Cricetulus griseus: one gene and its partners. The protein of the gene in region 1 purifies or fractionates together with the protein of each later gene. This does not show direct contact. Links are inferred from orthologs where the notes say so. Each region holds a gene or a part of one and is shown on either strand. Other genes may lie near its edges. The genes, in order: Arid4a, Sin3a, Brms1 and Rbbp4.

Evidence for each region.
Region 2: the proteins of Arid4a (region 1) and Sin3a purify together in Homo sapiens (affinity purification with western blotting; 6 studies listed by BioGRID and IntAct, with this or other methods). This does not show direct contact. The link is inferred for Cricetulus griseus from reciprocal best matches to the Homo sapiens genes ARID4A and SIN3A.
Region 3: the proteins of Arid4a (region 1) and Brms1 purify together in Homo sapiens (affinity purification with western blotting; 3 studies listed by BioGRID and IntAct, with this or other methods). This does not show direct contact. The link is inferred for Cricetulus griseus from reciprocal best matches to the Homo sapiens genes ARID4A and BRMS1.
Region 4: the proteins of Arid4a (region 1) and Rbbp4 purify together in Homo sapiens (co-immunoprecipitation; 4 studies listed by BioGRID and IntAct, with this or other methods). This does not show direct contact. The link is inferred for Cricetulus griseus from reciprocal best matches to the Homo sapiens genes ARID4A and RBBP4.

The regions. Positions count from the first base shown.
Region 1 is NC_048598.1:132,312,241-132,317,258, reverse strand, and holds part of Arid4a (AT-rich interactive domain-containing protein 4A), read left to right. Parts: intron 1-1,043; coding exon 1,044-2,174; intron 2,175-2,358; coding exon 2,359-2,466; intron 2,467-4,326; coding exon 4,327-4,533; intron 4,534-5,018.
Region 2 is NC_048597.1:168,630,603-168,635,620, forward strand, and holds part of Sin3a (paired amphipathic helix protein Sin3a), read left to right. Parts: intron 1-201; coding exon 202-318; intron 319-2,123; coding exon 2,124-2,362; intron 2,363-3,582; coding exon 3,583-3,766; intron 3,767-5,018. UniProt on the Homo sapiens protein: Acts as a transcriptional repressor. Corepressor for REST. Interacts with MXI1 to repress MYC responsive genes and antagonize MYC oncogenic activities. Also interacts with MXD1-MAX heterodimers to repress transcription by tethering SIN3A to DNA.
Region 3 is NC_048596.1:54,236,496-54,241,021, forward strand, and holds the end of Brms1 (breast cancer metastasis-suppressor 1), read right to left. Parts: intron 4,333-4,526; coding exon 4,240-4,332; intron 3,121-4,239; coding exon 3,056-3,120; intron 2,445-3,055; coding exon 2,405-2,444; intron 2,064-2,404; coding exon 2,056-2,063; 3' UTR 1,611-2,055; downstream 1-1,610. Other genes in the region: Rin1 (ras and Rab interactor 1), read right to left, coding at 89-203, 303-483, 631-785. UniProt on the Homo sapiens protein: Transcriptional repressor. Down-regulates transcription activation by NF-kappa-B by promoting the deacetylation of RELA at 'Lys-310'. Promotes HDAC1 binding to promoter regions.
Region 4 is NC_048595.1:23,710,565-23,715,582, forward strand, and holds part of Rbbp4 (histone-binding protein RBBP4), read left to right. Parts: intron 1-2,121; coding exon 2,122-2,295; intron 2,296-2,569; coding exon 2,570-2,685; intron 2,686-2,799; coding exon 2,800-2,960; intron 2,961-3,057; coding exon 3,058-3,184; intron 3,185-3,844; coding exon 3,845-3,922; intron 3,923-5,006; coding exon 5,007-5,018. UniProt on the Homo sapiens protein: Core histone-binding subunit that may target chromatin assembly factors, chromatin remodeling factors and histone deacetylases to their histone substrates in a manner that is regulated by nucleosomal DNA.

The DNA of each region.
Region 1 (5,018 bases):
AGCCTGGTCTCTATATCGAGGCAGGCCAGGGCTACCCACTGAGAATCTCGTCTTTAAAAAAATGAACACATTCAGTGTTTGCCTTTTAAAAATTCTCTAAGGAGGGCATGTGTTGTAAGAGCATAAATTTTTATATTATGTATATATGCATATAATACATATATTTTATATTATGTATATATGCTCTGAGAATGCTACCTTACTATTTGAAAAATTCTCTGACATAAAGTGAATAATTTGTCTTGCAAGCAGGTGGCTTGCTTGTATTTTCTTGTGTGTTAATAAGAACATTTGAAGTTTGGAGAATTCACATCGCTCATTTTAAACATCCCTTCTTAGGGGACAAAGTGGTAAACCTTTGTATTAAGTCAGGTCAAGTCACTTGACATACTAGCTTGTATTTTTTTTTGTTCTGTTTTGTTTGTTTAGTTTTTGAGACAGGCTTTCTCTGTGTAGCCTTGGCTGTCCTGGAACTCACGCTGTAGACCAGGCTGGCCTCAGGGATCTGCCCATCTCTGCCTCCAGAGTGCTGAGGTTAAAGGCCTGTGCCACTACACCCAGCTCTTCTGTTTTTTTCTAAGTGGTACCGTAGCCTAAATGTGTTGTTGCTGAAGACAGCTCTTCATACAGAACTGACATGGTAACATGCTGCTTATTATATTTTTACACATTTTGTTTTTATAGTTTGTGTGTAACACATGTATACATGTTTATGAAGGAAGGAGTGCACATGTGTTCAGAGTCCAATGGGCAATCTTGAGCAGTGTTCCTTAGGAAAGTTCTGTAAACCAGGCTGGCCTAGAACTCAGAGATCTGCCTGCCTCTGCCCCCTGAGCACTGGGATTAAATGTTCACACCACATGCCCTCTTTCATCACGTTTTAATTTTAGTCTTTCCTCTTACATTTTAGCCTTATTTTATATGAGAAATTCCTATAGAAAAATTCAGAAGTCTATAAAGAGTTTTGCTCATATTTAGTAGGATTCTAATTATTACATTAGCATTTAATATAACCATCTGTGCATTGTACTGTCTCCTTGCAGACTCTTGTTCATCTGATAGTGAAACAGAAGACCCTTTGGAGAAGAGCTTGATAAATGAAGAACTTTCTCCTGATATTAAGGAAGAGTTAGAAAAAAGTGAAAATGTAAATGATGATAAACTAGATGAAGAAAGCCCAAAGATTGCACATCTATTAAAAGAAAATGACAGGACTCAGATGCAGCCCTTAGAGACCCTGAAGGTAGAGGTCGAAGACAATGATCAAATAGTACATATTTTTGGAAACAAAGTAGAGCAAGTAGAAGAAATTAAGAAGCAGGTGGAAAAGTCCCCAAAAGGGAAGGGAAGGAGGAGTAAGACGAAAGACCTTTCTTCAGAGGTAATAAAGATGTCATCCCTCGGCCAGGACGAAGCAGGCAGTGATGCTCATGCAGACACTCAGAGCCTGGAGCTTTCCATACTAGAATGCAAAACCGTTTCTTCTCCTGAAGATGAAGGGGACCAATATGAGAGAGAAAAAAAGTTGAAACGGAAAATACTGGGACAGCCATCACCAGAGAAGAAAGTAAGACTTGAGAATGGGATGGAAGTGACAGCTGGTGTGTCCCAAGACAGGCCCAGCGATGGCGCTGGAGCCGAGGGCAGGAAAGGGTTACATTTCGAGCAGCACTTTGAAACAGAAAATGAAGGGATGCCATCATTGATAGCAGAGCCAAACCAGGGCATCCAAGAACCACCTAGTGAAAAACTGGACAGTCCAGCTGAAGAACCTGTACATACACCACTCAAAGAGGAGGAAGACGTGATGCCCCTGATTGGGCCTGAAACCTTGGTTTGCCATGAGGTAGACTTGGATGATCTGGACGAAAAGGAAAAGACCAGTATTGAGGATGTGGTAGTTGAAAACTCTGAGTCTAACTCTGTGGTTTCTGTTCCGACTGCCCTACCTCCCGTAGCACAGCATAACTTTTCAGTAGCTTCCCCTCTAACTCTCAGTCAAGACGAGTCCCGGAGTGTCAAGAGTGAGAGCGATATAACAATTGAAGTCGATAGCATTGCCGAAGAGTCACAGGAAGGCCTCTGCGAAAGGGAGTCAGCGAACGGGTTTGAAGCCAGTGTTGCCCCTGGTACCTGTGGTATAATTGTACAAGAGAGAGAGAGCAGAGAGAAGGGTAAGACATTCTAGGGGGTGATTGCTTTTGTGTTAAAACCAACAATTCAGGTTTTTGATATGACAGATGCTCACTGTTGTCTTTTTTAAAAAATAGAGAAATGATGTGGACAGGTACGTAAATGGACCTGTCTGCTTCCAGCTTTTGGTTTTGTTTTCATGGTTTTTCTTTTCCTTTATTTCAGGTCAAAAGAGGCCAAGCGATGGAAGTAGTGGGTTGATGGCAAAAAAGCAAAAGCGAACCCCAAAGCGAACGAGTGCTGGAACCAAGAGTGAAAAGAATGGGACAACAGGTCAGTGTTTACCAGTGCTGGTATTCACACAGCAGCAGAGGCGTGGCTTGTTCATTTGAGGAGTCCAAAAATGAGCAGGGTTTATTATGTTCTGAAAATAATTTTTCCATTTTTGGGGGGTATGTGTATGTGTGTGCTTGTGCGCATGCATGCATGCATACAAGTGCACAGACATGCCACTAAGCGTATGTGGACATCACAGGACAATTATGTGGAGTCAGTTCTTTCCTTCCATCTTTATGTGGGTTCCAGGGCTCAAACTCAGATCTTTAGGCTTGCATGGCAGGGATTCTTCCCCACTGCGTCATTCACCATCTGTCCATTTTAATCCGAAGATACCTATTAGTCTTATTTAGAACTAGGATAGCTAAAATTATTATTTCAGGAAAAGCAATTAAATATTAGAAAGACTTTAGGGTCTTGAAGAAAAGAAAAATAACATTTGTTGTGGTGTTAAAAGTATGCAAAACTAGCCGGGCAATGGTGGCACACGCCTTTATCCCAGCACTCTGGAGGCAAAGGCAGGCGATCTCTGTGAGTTTCAGGCTAGCCTGGTCTACAGAGTGAGTTCCAGGATAGACTCCAAAGCTACAGAGAAACCGTGTCTCAAAAAAAAAAAAAAACAAAAAAACAAAAAAACAAAAAACAAAAAACAAAAAACAAACAAACAAAAAAGAAAAAAACAAGAAAGGAAAGAAAGTATGCAAAACTTATATTTCTACTGAGCCAGAAGTGCTGATTTATAAATAGTAAAAATATTTATTTTATTTTATGTATGTGAATATTTTGACTACATGTATGTTGATGTATTATACCCCTGCCTGGTACTCAAAGAACTCAGAAGAGGCAGATTCCCTGGATCTGGAGTTGCAGGTGGTTGTGAGGTACCATGTAGGTGCTTGAACCTGGGTCCTCAGCAAGAGCAGTAAGTGCTTGTAACTACTGAGCCATCTCTTCATCCTGAAAAGTTAATTCTTATCAAATGAAATAAAATAATATATAGGTATGAATGGATTAGATTACATGAAAAGCAAACTCAGTATGAATAGTTAAATAGTCAATTAAATAAATAAATCAATCATAATAAATCAATTAAATATGATTGATTTTTGACAAGTTTGTTGCTAGATCATGCCCTCAGTAAAACAAACAGCTCATATCCTAACAAAAGGACTGTGGAGTTTACACAGTAGCAAACATCTCAAAGGACTTGAGACTGTTTCAGATTTTTAGTAGTCAGATGTGACTTACAGCTGCATGATTCTGACTTAAGGAAGAGAGTGATAGGAGGAAAGAGTGGATTAGAAATTACAAAGGGGGGCTGGAGAGATGCCTCAGCGGTTAAGAGCACTGACTGCTCTTCCAGAAGTCCTGAGTTCAATTCCCAGCAACCACATGGTGGCTCACAACCATCCATTATAAGATCTGGTGCCCTTTTCTGGTGTGCAGATATACATGGAAGCAAAATGTTGTATACATAATAAATAAAATCTTTAAAAAAAAAAAAAGAAATGACCAAGGGGATATGCATAATTTTACAGATTATAAATCCAGAAGATACCACCTTAGGGTAATCAAAGTAAACACTCAAGTCCACACAGGTGGACTTCTGAAAGTGGTAGGGCTCAGAGTCACGGCAGTGCCATGTGTGTATCTTCCTTTGACACTTTCCAAAGAATGATGTTATTCTGACATGTGCTTCTGCCACCACTGAGGCCAAAAAGCCTATTTCCCCCTTTTTTCTGTTGTAATCCTTGATAGATATGTTTATCTGTGTGATTCCAGGAAGTGTTACTGCTTCTGCTGCATTTTGATATTTGAGGCTTTTCATCATTTATAATTGTAGTAAACCTATTACAGGACAAAGCAGTGACAGTGAAGATCTCCCTGCCATGGACAGTTCAAGCAAATGCACGCCAGTCAAACATCTGAGCCTGTCCAAGCCGCAGAAGCTGGCTCGCTCCCCTGCAAGGACCTCACCTCACATCAAAGATGGAGAGAAAGAGAAGCACAGAGAAAAGCACCCGAATTCATCCCCTAGGACATATAAGTGGAGCTTGCAACTCAGTAAGAATCTTTCAGATAGCTTGAATGGGTATTGTAAAGTGTAACATTTCTAAAATGTCCATTTGGAATAATGTTATAGCCATTCCAAATCAGTAATCATCACTGTATGTAAACTGCTTTTCTTTTGTTTGTTTCTTTTTTTTTTTAATTTGGATAATGCTAACTTGACAAAATCTTCAGTTAAGAAACAAAACATAATCCCAGCAGACATATGGGTGCTGGGAATTGAACCTGGGTCCTCTGGAAGAGTAGCCAGTGCTTTTAACCATTCAGCCTCTCTTTAGCCCCCAGAGTAATAGTTGTTTAATATAGAATATTGGGCTAAAAAAAAACTCTTAATCATTGATTTAATTTAATCATAAATTCTGTAAAGAGCTTGTCTTAGGTCATACTACAGCTTTTATTGATTTGTAAGTTAAACTTTTTATGGAATTGCCTTCTTATTTTCTTATGGAATTACTGTTTTAAAATTGAGATTAACTTTA
Region 2 (5,018 bases), on another chromosome or scaffold:
CGATCTTATAGTCTGACCTTATGGAGGCAATTTCTCAATTGAGGTTCCCTCCTTTCAACTAACTCTAGCTTGTGTCAAGCTACAAAAAAACTAACCAGGACACCAAATATTTTTTCCTCTCTATAGTATTGTCTTTTTATTGAGAATGTTTAATTACCAGTAAGTTTTAACAAGCTTTTCTGCCTCTTTTTCTACCCAAAGGTTTTAAATGATACCTGGGTTTCCTTCCCATCATGGTCTGAAGATTCCACTTTTGTTAGTTCCAAGAAGACTCAGTATGAAGAACATATTTATCGTTGTGAAGATGAACGATTTGAGGTATCCTCCTTTGTGATTTGAAGTTTGGGGAACAAGGAAGATGTGAAATGAAGGGGTATTTAAATACTCTGTGTGAGGCAGCTTAAAAAAAAAAGTGCCCTAGTGCCTGTAAGAGTTACATTTTAAAGGGGATGGCTGGGATGGGAAGATCTAGAATGAATGAATCAGCTGGTAGAGATATCCCTTATTGCAGGAAGGGAATTTCTGAAACTAGACTCAAACATCTCCAGTATTCAGATGATGTTTACTAATACCACACCAAAGGGAGTCAATTGTATTTTGCATATATGTGTTTGACTTAGTATGTTCATTACACTGTGTTGACTGGGTCTGCTTCTTCAAATCAGTGGGAGAGATCTCATACAACATTCCTCTTCAGAAGAATCACATGCTGTCTCCTCACTGACTGGTGGTTGCCATCTTTTCCCCATCTCTGTTACCGTTCTATAATTGTGATAAATCTCATTATCAAGACAACTTATAAAAGAATTGACTTGGTTTAAAGTTTGAGATGGGAGTTCATGTGGTACAGAGAAGAACTATCTGAGAGCTCACATCTTGATCCTTAACCAGGAGGCAGAGAAGAATGCCTTGAGAATCATACTAGTCTTTTGAAATCTACAGGCCCACCCCCTAGTGATAGACCTCCTCCAGTGAAACCACACCTTCTTTCCCTTCCCAGACAGTTTTCTGAGCTAGGGATTAAGAATTTAAATATATGAGCCTATTGGGGCCATCCTCATTCAAACCACCACTCCTCTAGAATTAATGGCCTGATTAGTTATTGCAGAAAACTAAATTGTATTAAGTGTTAATTTCTATGGGTAGTTGTTTGTTTGTTTGTTTTGTTTTTTTTGTTTTTCCTGTTTTTGCAACAGGGCTCTGTGTAGCCTTGGCTATCCTGGAACTCTATGTAGACCAGGCTGCCTTGATCTCAGAGATCCATCTGCCTCTGCCTCTGCCTCCGCCTCCTGAGTGCTGGGATTAATGTGAGTGCCGCCATACCCAGCTTCTAATCAAGGTGAAGAACATTTTTCGAGTTGGGTAATGTAGTGTACCTATAATCCCTGGCGAGGGGAAGGCTGAAGGAGTTTAGAATTCTTGGTCCTTCTTGGGTGCATAGACCCGTTGGACGCCAGTCTGGCTACTTGATACTCTTTTTCAAAAGGAAAGGATAATAATCCTGAATTTGTTGCCATTGGGTGTGAAGCAGTAATTTAATATTTAAATGTTTTAGACATTTAAGTTAAGACTCCTATACCCTTTAGTCCCACAGCTGTCTTTGGATTGTTTTCTTACTATTTGTAATGTGTTTGCTCAAGTGAGAAAAGTTGATAGGCCAGATATTGCGGCTCACATTTGTAATCCCAGCGTTAGGTGCCAGAGGCAAGAACTTACCACAGTCGAAGACCAGTCTGGTCTACAGAGCATGTTATGTTCTAGGTCATCCATAATTAAAACTGTGTCTAAGTACAAACAAAAGTATAAGGAAATGCATCAGTATACTAGCCTTCTTAGTCCCCCTGGCCTGTGTTTGGCAGTGCCAAGCAGTGTGTGACAGTGGTGGCTGCCGAGAAGTTCGTGTGCTTTATGACTTATGCATATGGCATTTCTTCCAGAAAACAACCTCATGAAAGTAGTATATGCCATTGTTCATATGTTACTGATGGAGAGCCTTACATGGCTTGTATAGGAACTATACAGGACTCCAATCCTGAGGAATTTGACACGCTCCTTATTCTCATAACTACTGTATTCTGGTTTCTGGCCTGAGTACCTTCTTTTTTGTTTTGTTTTGTTTTAAGCTTGATGTAGTTTTAGAGACCAATCTTGCAACAATCCGGGTTCTGGAAGCAATACAGAAAAAACTTTCCCGCTTGTCTGCTGAAGAGCAAGCTAAATTTCGCCTGGATAATACCCTTGGCGGCACGTCAGAAGTCATCCATCGGAAAGCACTCCAGAGGATATATGCTGATAAAGCAGCTGATATCATAGACGGTCTGAGGAAGAACCCCTCCATTGCTGTTCCAATTGTCCTTAAAAGGTGTGTATCTTCTGGCTTTTGTACGCTTTGTGACAGGTTCTGTGTGGTTCTCTAATCAGAATTCCAGTTCTCTCTTCTTGGTTGTTAGACTTTTGAGACAGAGTAAAATGACAGAACTTAGTTTAGGGTTTTGTATGCCATAGTGGTTGAAGGACTACCACTCAGTGGTAGTGTGCTTTTGTAACATGCCTAACCCTTGAGCTCAATTTCCTTGCCACAGAGAGAGAATAATTGAGTTGGTGTATGATAGCCTGCTTTGAATTTATGTTTGAGGTTGTGTTTCAGTTTTTTTCTCAGAAGAGGGGATTGAACTTGGGACCATTTGTGTAACATGCTTGGTAGGCAAATGCTTTACCATGTCTCAACATGTGTCTGTGTCTGTGTGGTGTGTGTGAACTTTGTTTTGGAATAGGTCTCACTATACTGTCCAGACTGGCTGTTGAACTTGCAATGCTCACCCCTCACCAAATGCCTTCTCTTGGACTTTGCATTTCTATTAGCTCAGTAAACATTCTGAGTCGTAACATAGAAGCAAGTTCACCGTTGCTTTATTTGTCCAAGGAGAGCTCACTTTTCAAGTATACTCATTGAAGCCAGATGTAGTCCTCACACTAGGGAGGCAGAGGCAGGAAGATTGCTGTAAGTTGTAAATCCCAGGTCATCCGATGTTTCAAAGTGAGGCCTTGTCTCAGAAACCACTCTATACTCCCTCATAAAACTCCTCTTCCTCCTTTCCTTTTTTTTTCCTTGTCTTACAAGACAGGGTTTCTCTGTGTAGCTTTGGCTGTTCTGAAACTCTTTTGTAGACCAGGCTTGTCTTACATATGTGAAGATCCACCTGTCTCTCCCTCCTAAGGGCTGGGATTAAAGGTGTGTGTCACTCAACTTTCTGAGTACTCAAGGAAGCCTGATGTTCCTCTTGCCTATAATGTCAGCATTGGGGAGGTGGCAGGCAGAATTGCTGTAAGTTTGAGACTTGTGTATTCTATATAGCATGTTCCAGACCAAGACTTCACAGTAAGTCTTGTCTAGAAAAACAAACCCCCTCTGGAAAAAAAACTTCATTTAGATAATATCAGTGTTATTATCTCAAGTACCAGCAATTGACCAAATTTTGCATAGATTCGGTTTTTATCAAATAAAATAACCTGGCATATTTACCATTTCTAAACCCTCTAAATTCTTACATTGTTATTTACATCTCTTCCTACTTTGCCAAGGTTGAAGATGAAAGAGGAAGAATGGCGAGAAGCTCAGAGAGGCTTTAACAAGGTGTGGCGAGAGCAAAATGAGAAGTACTACTTGAAGTCTTTGGATCACCAGGGCATTAACTTCAAACAGAATGACACCAAGGTCTTGAGGTCTAAGAGCTTACTCAATGAGATTGAGAGCATCTATGATGAGGTGAGTTGGGGGATTCTACACCTTCCTCAACTTTAGTCTGAATGTTCAGCCTGGCTTTGACTCTACAATCACTGAGAGCTACTGGTTCTTGCTTCATGACTAGAGTCCATCATAGCTTTTGATTCCTGGTCTACCATCTTATACCTAAGACCCATTGTTACACTTAGTTCTTCCTCTAGTTTCCTAATTTATCATTCTGCTTTAAGTTTGCTCCTTCTGACCCCCACTTCTTCCAACAAATATCTTGTATTTGTGGAGCCTCTCCCTTTTTTTCCTTTCTTTTTTTGTGGAGACCCTCTTATCTAGACCTCAGCTTAAAGAGTGTTAGTAATCCCTGTTACCCTGCACACTTACTGGGAGTGTAAATAGTTCTAGGAGCCAAGAGTCAGAGGTGATACGGCCTGTCTTAGGAAGTAGAAGCTTTCTAAAAGTCCTGAGTTTTAAAAAATAAAAAAAAATTAAATGAGCTTTTACAGTTAATCATCTGTCTAATCATGTTAACCTCCATGTGACAAACTCCACCCTAATATAGAATTTTAAATACAATTCTCTCAAGTCTTCAATATATAGAAGGTACTAATTTTTTTTATCAAGCCACATTGTCATAGTACCTATGAATATTTGGAAGAGAGACAAAAATTGTTAAGGTCAATTCCTGTGTTTCAAATTGGGTAACCACTATCACGTCTCTGTCTGTTTTGATATAGGATCAAAATATATGGCCCAAACTGGCTTAGAATTTGCATCTTTTCAGCTTTGCCTCCTAAAGACTAGAATTATAGATAGGTATTATTGTGCTTAGTTTCCACTATGGTTAGTAATAAAATATGCTGCTGGTGTAGTCTTTTTTTTGTTTTTTGTTTTGTTTTTCTTTTTCATTTTAGAGACAGAATTTTTATGTATAACTCTGGGTATATCTAGAATTTGGTACTTGACTTTTTTAGACCAGGCTAGCCTCACTCAGAGATCTACTTGCCTCTCTCTCAAGAGCTGAGATGAAAGGTGTGCATGCCTTTAATCCTAGCACTTGGGAGGCAGAGGCAGGCGTATTTCTGTGAGTTTGAGGCCAGCTTGGTCTATAGAAGTAGTTCCAGAACAGGCTCTAAAGCTACACAGAGAAACCCTGTCTCAGAAAAACAACAAAAACACAAAACAAAACAAAACAAAAACCAAAAAAGGTGTGCACTACCACCACCTGACATTGCTGATGTAGTTTTGTAGGCTTGTTACTGTATACATGTCACACAATGCT
Region 3 (4,526 bases), on another chromosome or scaffold:
CTGAGAGACACTGGGAGTGAGGCTGTTCTCTGGGGACCTCCCTCCCCAGCCTGTCTCCAGCCCCTTCCCGCCAGGCCAGCCCCCTCACCACCAGGGCTCTCTTGGATATAGTGGCTGGAGACAAAAGAGGGGCCACTGGCTTCTGGCAGCCGCACACACAGAGCCCGGCACTGGCGAGTGTTAGATTTCCGTACCAGGAAGGTCTGCAAGTGAATAGGATTAGGAGGCTCAATGCCTCCATGTCCAGGCCCTTTCTCTCCCACCCTTGGTGAGCCAGTCCTGGAGGAAGGGAAAAGACTCACCCCTGGAGGCTCTGTCCTCAACACGTGTAGTGCGGCTGCAGCGTTGGCCCGCAACTGTAACCACACCGGCCGGGTGATGAGCAGCCGTTCCCGCAGACTCACGGTGCGTGCTGGTTGTTGGGCCCCGCCTGCCTGTGCCCTGCTGGCGTCAGGCGTGTCATACAGAGGGTCTGGAGATGGACTGGGGGCAGACACGCAGACCTGAGCAGGGGTCTGGGCAAGCACCTCTTCCCCGTCCTGGGCTTCCCACCTATCCATCTGTCTTTGCCAGACCTTCCTGTCACTGCCCTCACCCCCTGCACCCAGTTGCCCTCCCAACTTCACTAACTTTTCTTTCTGTTGGTGCCCAGGAACAAAGTTTAGGTTGGCAGTTCCCAAAGGGTGTGCTTCTGTATCCCCAGGGTCTTCCATGGCTAGGAGCTCCTTCAGCTTCTCCTGGGACTCAGGAAGAGAATCCAACCCCCAAGGCACAGGCGGGCACATTCCTAGCGGTGAGTAACACTTCCTGAAGGCGGTTCACCCTGTCACGCCCCGCCAGTTAACTCTTGTATGTCCACTCCATGTGGCCAGTGTCCACTTCTATTCTGGGCCCAGCCTTGAATGGCAGGGGCCCCCTTTATGTTAGTGTCACTATTAGGGCCTCAGCTGTGGGAGGACCACCTCCACACAGCGTTTCCTCATATAGAACCTCACACTATGCAGCTGGGTAGGGAGGAGTTAAACAGGGCAGACCAAGTTCCCACAGGCCCAAGTCTCACCCCTGTGTCACCTCAAGAAGTCTGTGGTCACTTGCTCATCTGCTTCTGCCTTGGAGGGGGTCACCCTTGTGGGAGAGCACCCCCTACTGGTCACAGATGACTCATTCCTGAACCTAACTTGGGTTTTGTGATTTCAGGTTGCTATGGAGAAAGGATGCTGTGTCTCCATGGAAACTAAACCCTTTGCTTAACTGAGGTTCTGGGGGTGGTTCTGACACTCATGCTAACCAGGGGAGAGTGTGGCTGTGAGGTTGTCAGCACATGGTGCTGCTGCTAGCTGCCTCCCACACACAGGCCCTGCCAGCCTGCCTGCCAATCTGCCAAGTGACTGGGGCAGGTGCAGACATGACCTGGCCTCCAGGCATGCCTTCATCCAAGGCCATGTGCTTCATTTGTTTGCCTGGGCCACACCACGTGTAGACTCCAGCTCTGGGCCCAGGCTCGTTTCTAAGTCACAATGTTCTGAACAACAGGGACCCCAGAAGAGTCTGTCCCAGGTGTTCCCCATAAAGCCTTGATTCCTTTTAAGAGAACAGCAGACACACACTGGTCAAGGTCCAAGGATGAGTTTTATTCCAGTCTTTAGAATCTGGGAGGCAGACACCAGGAATGGCCCTGAGAAAGTCTGGGAAGATGCCATCTCCAGCGATAGCTAGGAGGGGCAAGACCCCAACATGTTTCTGGCTCAAGAGTTCCCCAGCTCCTGGCTCAGTGGGGAGGGCTGCTGCTGTCATATGAAGCCTATCTTTATTGGGGGGACAATAAAGGAAGTTACTCTTGGGGGGGGGGCAGGAACGGAGTCTTGCTTGGCCAGGTCAGCTTCAGGGTCACGGCTATGCAGATCCCAAGGAGAGCAGAGGAGCCCAGGCCAGTGTTGGTCAGGGGACAGCAGTAACACTGGAGGACTACCAGGCAACCCCCTGCCTTTGCAGAAAAATGTTAGTCCTGTGTGTGGTGCCAGCTGCTCCAAGGACCCTCTGAGTGGAAATGCAGTGTCAGGGTCCTAGGGGCAATGGGAAAATCACTACAAGGAAGGTGAATCAAAGAGAACAACCACTGCCTGAGGCCCTGGGGAAACACCATACTCCCCTCACCCACAGGGCTTCCTTTCCCTGCCCTCTGACCCACCCTGCTGCGGGCCAGCTCCAGTCCACCTTTATCTCTCTGTGGTGCTGAACTTGGGACCAGAGGCTTACCCATGCTAGGCAAGCACTCTACCACTGGGCCCTCCATTTTACCTTTACAAGTCCTTGCCAATCTGGTTCCTATTCCCCAAACTCCCACAAAATCCTCAAAGTGAGATCAAGCTATGGATTCTGACAGGGCCACCTCTTTGGTTCTTACCATCTGGTTTTCTCTTCTGAGGAGACACTGCTGCCCTGGCCTGGGTGTAGAGAAGACAGGGGCCTTTAGAGTCTACTTTAACTTGTTGACACTGCCCCCTCTACACCAAGGGTGAAAGCTGCTGAGTCAAATTGCATGAAATATAAAAAACTCCCTACACCAAGCTCTCTCAGGGGCAGCTTTTCTCTTGTTCATCAAAACTGTCTGGATTGGCCGGGCGTTGGTAGCGCACACCTTTAATCCCAGCACTCAGGAGGCAGAGGCAGGCGCATCTCTGTGAGTTTGAGGCCAGCCTGGTCTCCAGAGCGAGTGCCAGGATAGGCTCCAAAGCTACACAGAGAAACCCTGTCTCAGGGAAGAAAAAAAAAAAAACAAAAAAAAAACAAAAAACAAACAAACAAAAAAAAACAACAAAAAAAAAACCTGTCTGGACCAACGGCTAACCAGAACACATCCTTTTCCTTCCTCAGGTCAGTCTAGGAGGACTACAAATAAGCTACCACAAAGTTGGTACCAGGGCTGAGGCAGATATTGCTGAGGGGCAGGCAGAAAACTCCCTAAATACCCTCAGATACCAGAGCTGTCATGAGTGTATGAGAGAGGGGTGGGGGTGGCAGAGCAGGATGGGTAAACAGGCAGCAGCAGACCTACCTTTTTGATAGCCGTCCAGTCTTCCAGAATGTCGATCTCCTGCAGCATGTATACAATGTATGGGCCTGCACAGGGGTCAAGGAAGAAAGATGACAACAGGAGACAGGGGACAAGGCTCCACTGGATGGCCACAGGTGGCAGTGCCACCTGTCTCCTGCTTAGGAGAGGTGGTACATCGGTAGTGTGGAGGGGGTGACAAGAGCCTTTTTATTTTTTGAGACACAGTCTCTATGTAGCCCTGGCTGGCCTGGAACTCACAGAGAGCTGCCTGCCTCTGCCTCCTGAGTGCTGGGATTAAAGGTGTGTGCCTTTACACTCAGTAAGACCCTGGGCTTAATCCAAGCTCCACCTCCTGCCTCAGGGACCCTAGTTCTTGGTGAGTGTGGGGATTGTGGTGGGCACAAAACCTTACCCATTCCCTTCACACACACTCATATTTTTTTTTTTTCCAGATCAGCTGACCAAGGCCCATCCTATCCTGAGGGGCCCTGCTCCTGCTGCTTTGTCTGGCTCTGTCAGGAACTGGCTCATTGGACCCTTCCTCACCTAAATGTAAATAGTGGCCTCTTCCCTCCTGATAGCACACTATGCTATGGATCTGAAATTTACCTTTACCCACAATGGTTCAATAAAATCTCCATCCCACCTCCATCCTGAGGTGGTCCCAGGGCTGACACTGTGGATGTGGAAGATCTCAGTGCTATGCTGTGCAGCACATGAGAGTCAAAGACAGTGAGTCCCCTGTCTCACTGTTCAATACAGAAGAGAACACATGTATAGGGCTGGGGGCTATGGACCAGGAGAGACCTCAGAGGACACAGCATCTGACATGACACCCCTGCCCAGACAAGCAATAGCTCCAGAAGGGTCAAGCAAGGCCTGAGAGCATGGAGTTTGACCAAATATAAGGACATTGAGGGAAAGCCACAAGGCTCCAAAGGCTGATCCTTTCTCAGGAAATTACTATGAGTCAGTGAGCTGAGTTTTCTGTTTCTTTGGGGTCCACTGAGCTCAAGAGGACATAGGACACAGAAGAAAATCCTGACAACTGGACATTTCAGGTGACACCAAATGACCATAAATGATTCTAGTTTGACTCTGTCCCACACAATCCCTCTAACTTCCCTGAGTCCAGGGCCTGCCTTGTCCTGCCCAGTTTCAGGGGACTTTGAGTGGAAGGATACCAGAAACGAGAGGTGCCTTCTTCCTCTTGCTGGGTGGCAATGAGTCCCAGGTCTTTGAGCTGCCTCTGGCGTGTAGTTTGTCATCCCACCACTCTGTGCCCAGAGACTCAGAGTCAGGATCAGGACAGTGACCCACAGGTAACTCCCACTATCCCTGTGGTTTTACCATGGACCAGCCTGGCCTCCCCTCCCTTCCCCATCACCACCAGGGCAGTGGCCCCAACCTTGGGCTTGAGGCTGGTGACCTCTTGGGACCACTGAGGTCCTTACTGCATTTGGTGCAAGCC
Region 4 (5,018 bases), on another chromosome or scaffold:
GTCCTTCTTTGAAATGCCTTTCTGTTCCAAGATTTCAAAATATCATCTGTTGGTTGTTCTAGTACTTTAACTGATAAACTTTGATCTGTCTATTTTGCTGCTGTGTATGTGATTAGAATCGAGTCCTATTCCCTGAATGTTTCTCTTGCTTTGGGGAGTTGGGACAGTATGCTCTCTATGACTGAACTGCTGCTTCTGACTACAGTTTGGTTTTGTGTGTTGGTGTAGGTGTGTGCCATAGTGCCGTATGGGGAAGGATTGTCACAGGTTCAAGGCCATCGTGGTCTGCATATTAAGATCCTGACTGAACTGTCTCAAAATGGCTTCTCTCTCCCCAGAAATAGTAAAAAACAAAACAGTAATGTGGATCACAGCTATAGATTTTTGAATTTGACTATCACACTACCCCAGGGTTACACACCTTGTTTTCCTTTTACTCCTTTACCTATAAGTGGATAGGCTTGGTAACCCCATGGCGGAATGGTGACTTTAGTTGATTTCATCAATGATGGGTACACTTATGTCTGATGTCTGAGTTTCTTGGGTATTGGCTTGTGTCTCAGTGGTAGAACACTTGTCTAGCATCTGCAAGACCCTGGGCGTCATGTCCAGCATCACGAAGACAAAAGGTTTGGTTTTTGTTTATAAATCATTTCTAACCTAAAAAAATGAAATGCAGGCAGGTGGATTTCGTGAGTTCATACACGAAGAAACCCTGTCTGGAACGAACACACACCACAATGAAATGAAAATGAAAATTTGGTTTCTTGGCTTGTACTGTTAAAATACTTTCTTAGAAATTCCACAGGATTTATGGCCTAGAAAAGTGACTCAGGTGTTAGAAATTGGGGTAAGGGAGCTTTGGGTAAGCATATTGGTTAAGAAAGATACACGTGTTCCTACTGGGGTACTGGAAATGTTTTGTTGGTGGTGGTAGTTTCGTTGGTTGATTGGGGGTCGGGGTGTGACTTTGGGTTTTTTGTTTTGTTTTGTTTTTAGACGGGGTCTCTGTAGTCTAGGCCTCCTTGAAATTCCCTTTAAGAAGTCAAGACTAGCTTTGCACTCCTGGTGATCCTCTTAACTTAGCCTTTTGTTTTTGAAGATAGCATTTCTCTATGTAATAGCCCTGGAACTTGCTTTGTAAACTAGGCTGGCCTTGAACTCATAGATCCACCTGCCTCTGACTTAGCCTTTTAAATAGGGTTTCTTTTGGGGCTGGAGAGATAGCTCAGAGTGCTAGCTTCTCTTCTAGAGGACCCAGGTTTGATTCCCAGCACTCACATTGCAGGTCACAACTGTCTGTAACTGAAGTTTCAAGGGATCTGACACCTTCGCACCAATTCACATATAAAATACATTTAATTTTTAAGGGTTTTTTTATTTGTTTGTTTGTTTGTTAGGTTTATTATGTATATGAGTTCTCTGTCTGCATGCACACCTTTATGCCAGAAGAGGGCACCAGATCCCATTATATAGGTGATTGTAAGCCACCTTAACCAATATTGTGTGGTTGCTGGGACTTGAACTCGTGACCAGGAGAGCATCCAGTACTGTTAACTGCTGAGTTATTTTTAGGTCAAATGAGATTTGAAAACTGCCAAGAACAAGCTTTTAGCAAGGAATGGTGATCATCAAACTTTTGATCTTGGCACTCCGGTCAGGAGAATTGCCTAAGCTAGGCTATAGAATGAGATTCTGTGAAGGTGTGAGAGAAAGAAGAAAGGACAGCGAACCTCTGCATAGTGAATTGAGGGCCCGTCTGAGATGTGTGGTCACAGCCTGCCTGGAGAACAAGCAAAAAGATTGACTCACAAGGTTGAGTAGTTGAGTAGTATACACACACACACACAGGATCTCACACTAGTAGCATAACACTTAAGGCTCACTGTGCAGACCAGGCTGGCCTCTAACTACAATGGTCTGGCTGCACCAAGATTTAAAGGTGTGCACTACCACACCAGGTTTGGTATTCATACCGTCTTCATTTCAGTTGGCTATATAGTACTTATTTCTAATCTATCTGTAGTTATAAATGTATAAAAAGCACTTCTGTTCTCCAGATGGTTCTGTCTTCTAGTTATACCACTTGGTTCATTAAGTACTTTTTGCTTATAAATACAGAATTCGGAGGTTTTGGCTCTGTCAGTGGGAAAATTGAAATAGAAATCAAGATCAACCATGAAGGAGAAGTAAACAGGGCTCGATACATGCCCCAGAACCCTTGCATCATTGCAACAAAGACTCCATCCAGTGATGTGCTTGTTTTTGACTACACAAAGCACCCTTCTAAACCAGGTACCTCTCCCTTTTAATCAGATACAGATTCCATTTACTCAAATATTTTTATAATTTAACATCTTATTTGTATTGATATGTGTGGGTATTTTATGTTTCTTAAGCAAAGCAGTGCTTTTATGTAGAGGAAAATCATGATTTTGCAACTTCAGCATTGTATAGTTGGTCATGATGGGTCTATATTTTGTATAATAGGCATTTATGGCATAATTTTGCTTAATAAGCCCAGAGAGACAATCAACTGGATATTCTAGATATATCTGTTACTTTGCAGACCCTTCTGGAGAATGCAACCCAGATTTACGTCTCCGTGGACATCAGAAGGAAGGTTATGGTCTTTCTTGGAATCCAAATCTCAGTGGGCACTTACTTAGTGCTTCAGATGACCATGTGCGTATCCTTGCAGTTTTGGTTCAAATCTGGAATTGTTGCCAATTGCTTTCTTTTTTGGGGAGATGGGGGGAAGTGAGAATCATTTATATAATGGTTAATTTTAAATTTAAGACCATCTGCCTGTGGGACATCAGTGCAGTTCCAAAAGAAGGAAAGGTGGTGGATGCAAAGACCATCTTCACAGGGCATACAGCAGTAGTAGAGGACGTTTCCTGGCATCTGCTCCACGAGTCTCTGTTTGGGTCTGTTGCTGACGATCAGAAACTTATGATGTGAGTGGACTCCATAATTTATTTTTTATTACATTTTCAGAGTTTTGCATTAGTCACATTTCAAGCTTCCTTTCCTATTCTCTCTCTTTAAATGAAGCTGGGATACTCGTTCGAACAATACTTCCAAGCCAAGCCACTCGGTTGATGCTCACACTGCTGAAGTGAACTGCCTGTCTTTCAATCCTTACAGTGAGTTCATTCTTGCCACAGGATCAGCTGACAAGGTCAGTTTTCTTTGTTTGGGATTTTTTGTTGTTGAAGTTTTATATTTTATGGGTAAAGGAACTTCACCCACATGTATGTCTTGAGCACATGCTGTACATGTCTGGTGCCTGTTGAGACCAGAAGGGGGTGTTAGATCCCCTGGGATTGGGGTTACAAATGTTTGTGTGACACCAAATGGGTGCTGAGCTGTTCCTCTGGACTCTTAACTACTGAGCCATCTTCAGCATATGTTAAATGAAATGTACGGAGACCTTTAGTTAATGTTTTAAAGGTATTCTTGTCTTAAATTTTTTTAAGAATTTTATCAGGCTGCCAAGCCTGAAGATCTGAATTCAGTCCCCAAGACCTGAAAGACTAAAGGAGATTACCAACTCCTCTCCTACAAGTTGACCTCTGATCTCTGCACAGTTGTCATGGTACATGTGTGTATATATACACAAACTGAACTATGTATTTGGCAGGGATGGGGGTACATACACCATGACGTTTGTGTGGGGGGTTAGAAGACAACTTGCCAGAGTTTGTTTACTCCTTCCACTGTGTGGATTCTGGGATCAAACTCATGTTTGGCAGCAAGTGCCTTTATCCACTGAACCATCTTGCTGGCCTTAGGCTTTCCTTTATAAGTTGATCTTGATTTCGTTTTCTTTTGTACATAGACTGTTGCCTTGTGGGATCTGAGAAACCTGAAACTCAAGTTGCATTCCTTTGAGTCACATAAGGATGAAATATTCCAAGTAAGAAAAACCTAGGTTGCCTGCCCTGTTCTTTCCCTCTTTACAGACAATTCTGTATACACCTATAATCCCAGCCCTTGGGAAGCTACAGCAGAAAGATACCGTGTAAAGAGATCCTTACAAATCAGAGGACCTGGAAAGGAAGCACAGTTAGTGGAGTTCTTGCCTGACATGCAGGAACTTTTGCTACCGTGTGTCCTTTTTAACTAGGCACATCCCTCTCTTAAATTTTATAGTGATACCAGACATGTCCATGCATGCCTCTGATCCCAGCATAAAGGGTACCTGAAGCAAGACAGTCACCTGAGGTATCTATCTAGTAAGAGACCACCCTACAGTCATTAGAACTACTGCTAATCTCAGCATTCAAAGGGAAGAGGGAGAATCACAAAAGGTCATCCTCATCTAAATGGCCTAAGTGTTGAGACTGTTTTGTCATTGTCCTATTTCCTTTCTCTTGGTGGTAGTGGTAGTGATGGTCTTGCTTGAAGAATATCTAAATTCTTCCCTAACCCATTAGTCAATAATGCCATAAACTAACATTTTTTTTTCTTTCTTTTTTTCTTCTTCTTCAAGTCAGGATATCTCTGTTTAACAGTCCTAGCTGTCCTGCAAACTCATTCTGTGGATCAGGCTGGCCTTGAACTCACAAGGAGCCTCCTGCCTCTGCTTTCAAAGTGCTGGGATTAAAGGTGTGTGCCACCACTACCCAGCAAACCAGCACTTTCTTAACAGCCACAGGATTTGTGATAGTTTTGTGTGTGTGGTTATCTTTTACCTAACATCATTATAAGGAATCTTTGGGGTATAGTAGTAGCTGTCCAGGCAGTGGTGGCGCAAGCCTTTAGTCCCAGCACCTGGGAAGCAAAGGCAGGCTGATCTCTGAGTTCAAGGCCAGCCTGGTCTATAAAGCAAGTGCCAGGACAGGCTCCAAAGCCATAGAGAAACCCTGTGAAGAGAGAAATATCTGTAAGTTTTAGCAGTATTCACTGCCTTTTATTTACAAAGTTTTGTAGGATATAATTTGAGATATTTTCCCCTTCTATTTCTAATTGGTTGCATCTTTGTTGACTCTTGGATATAGGTTCAATGGTCA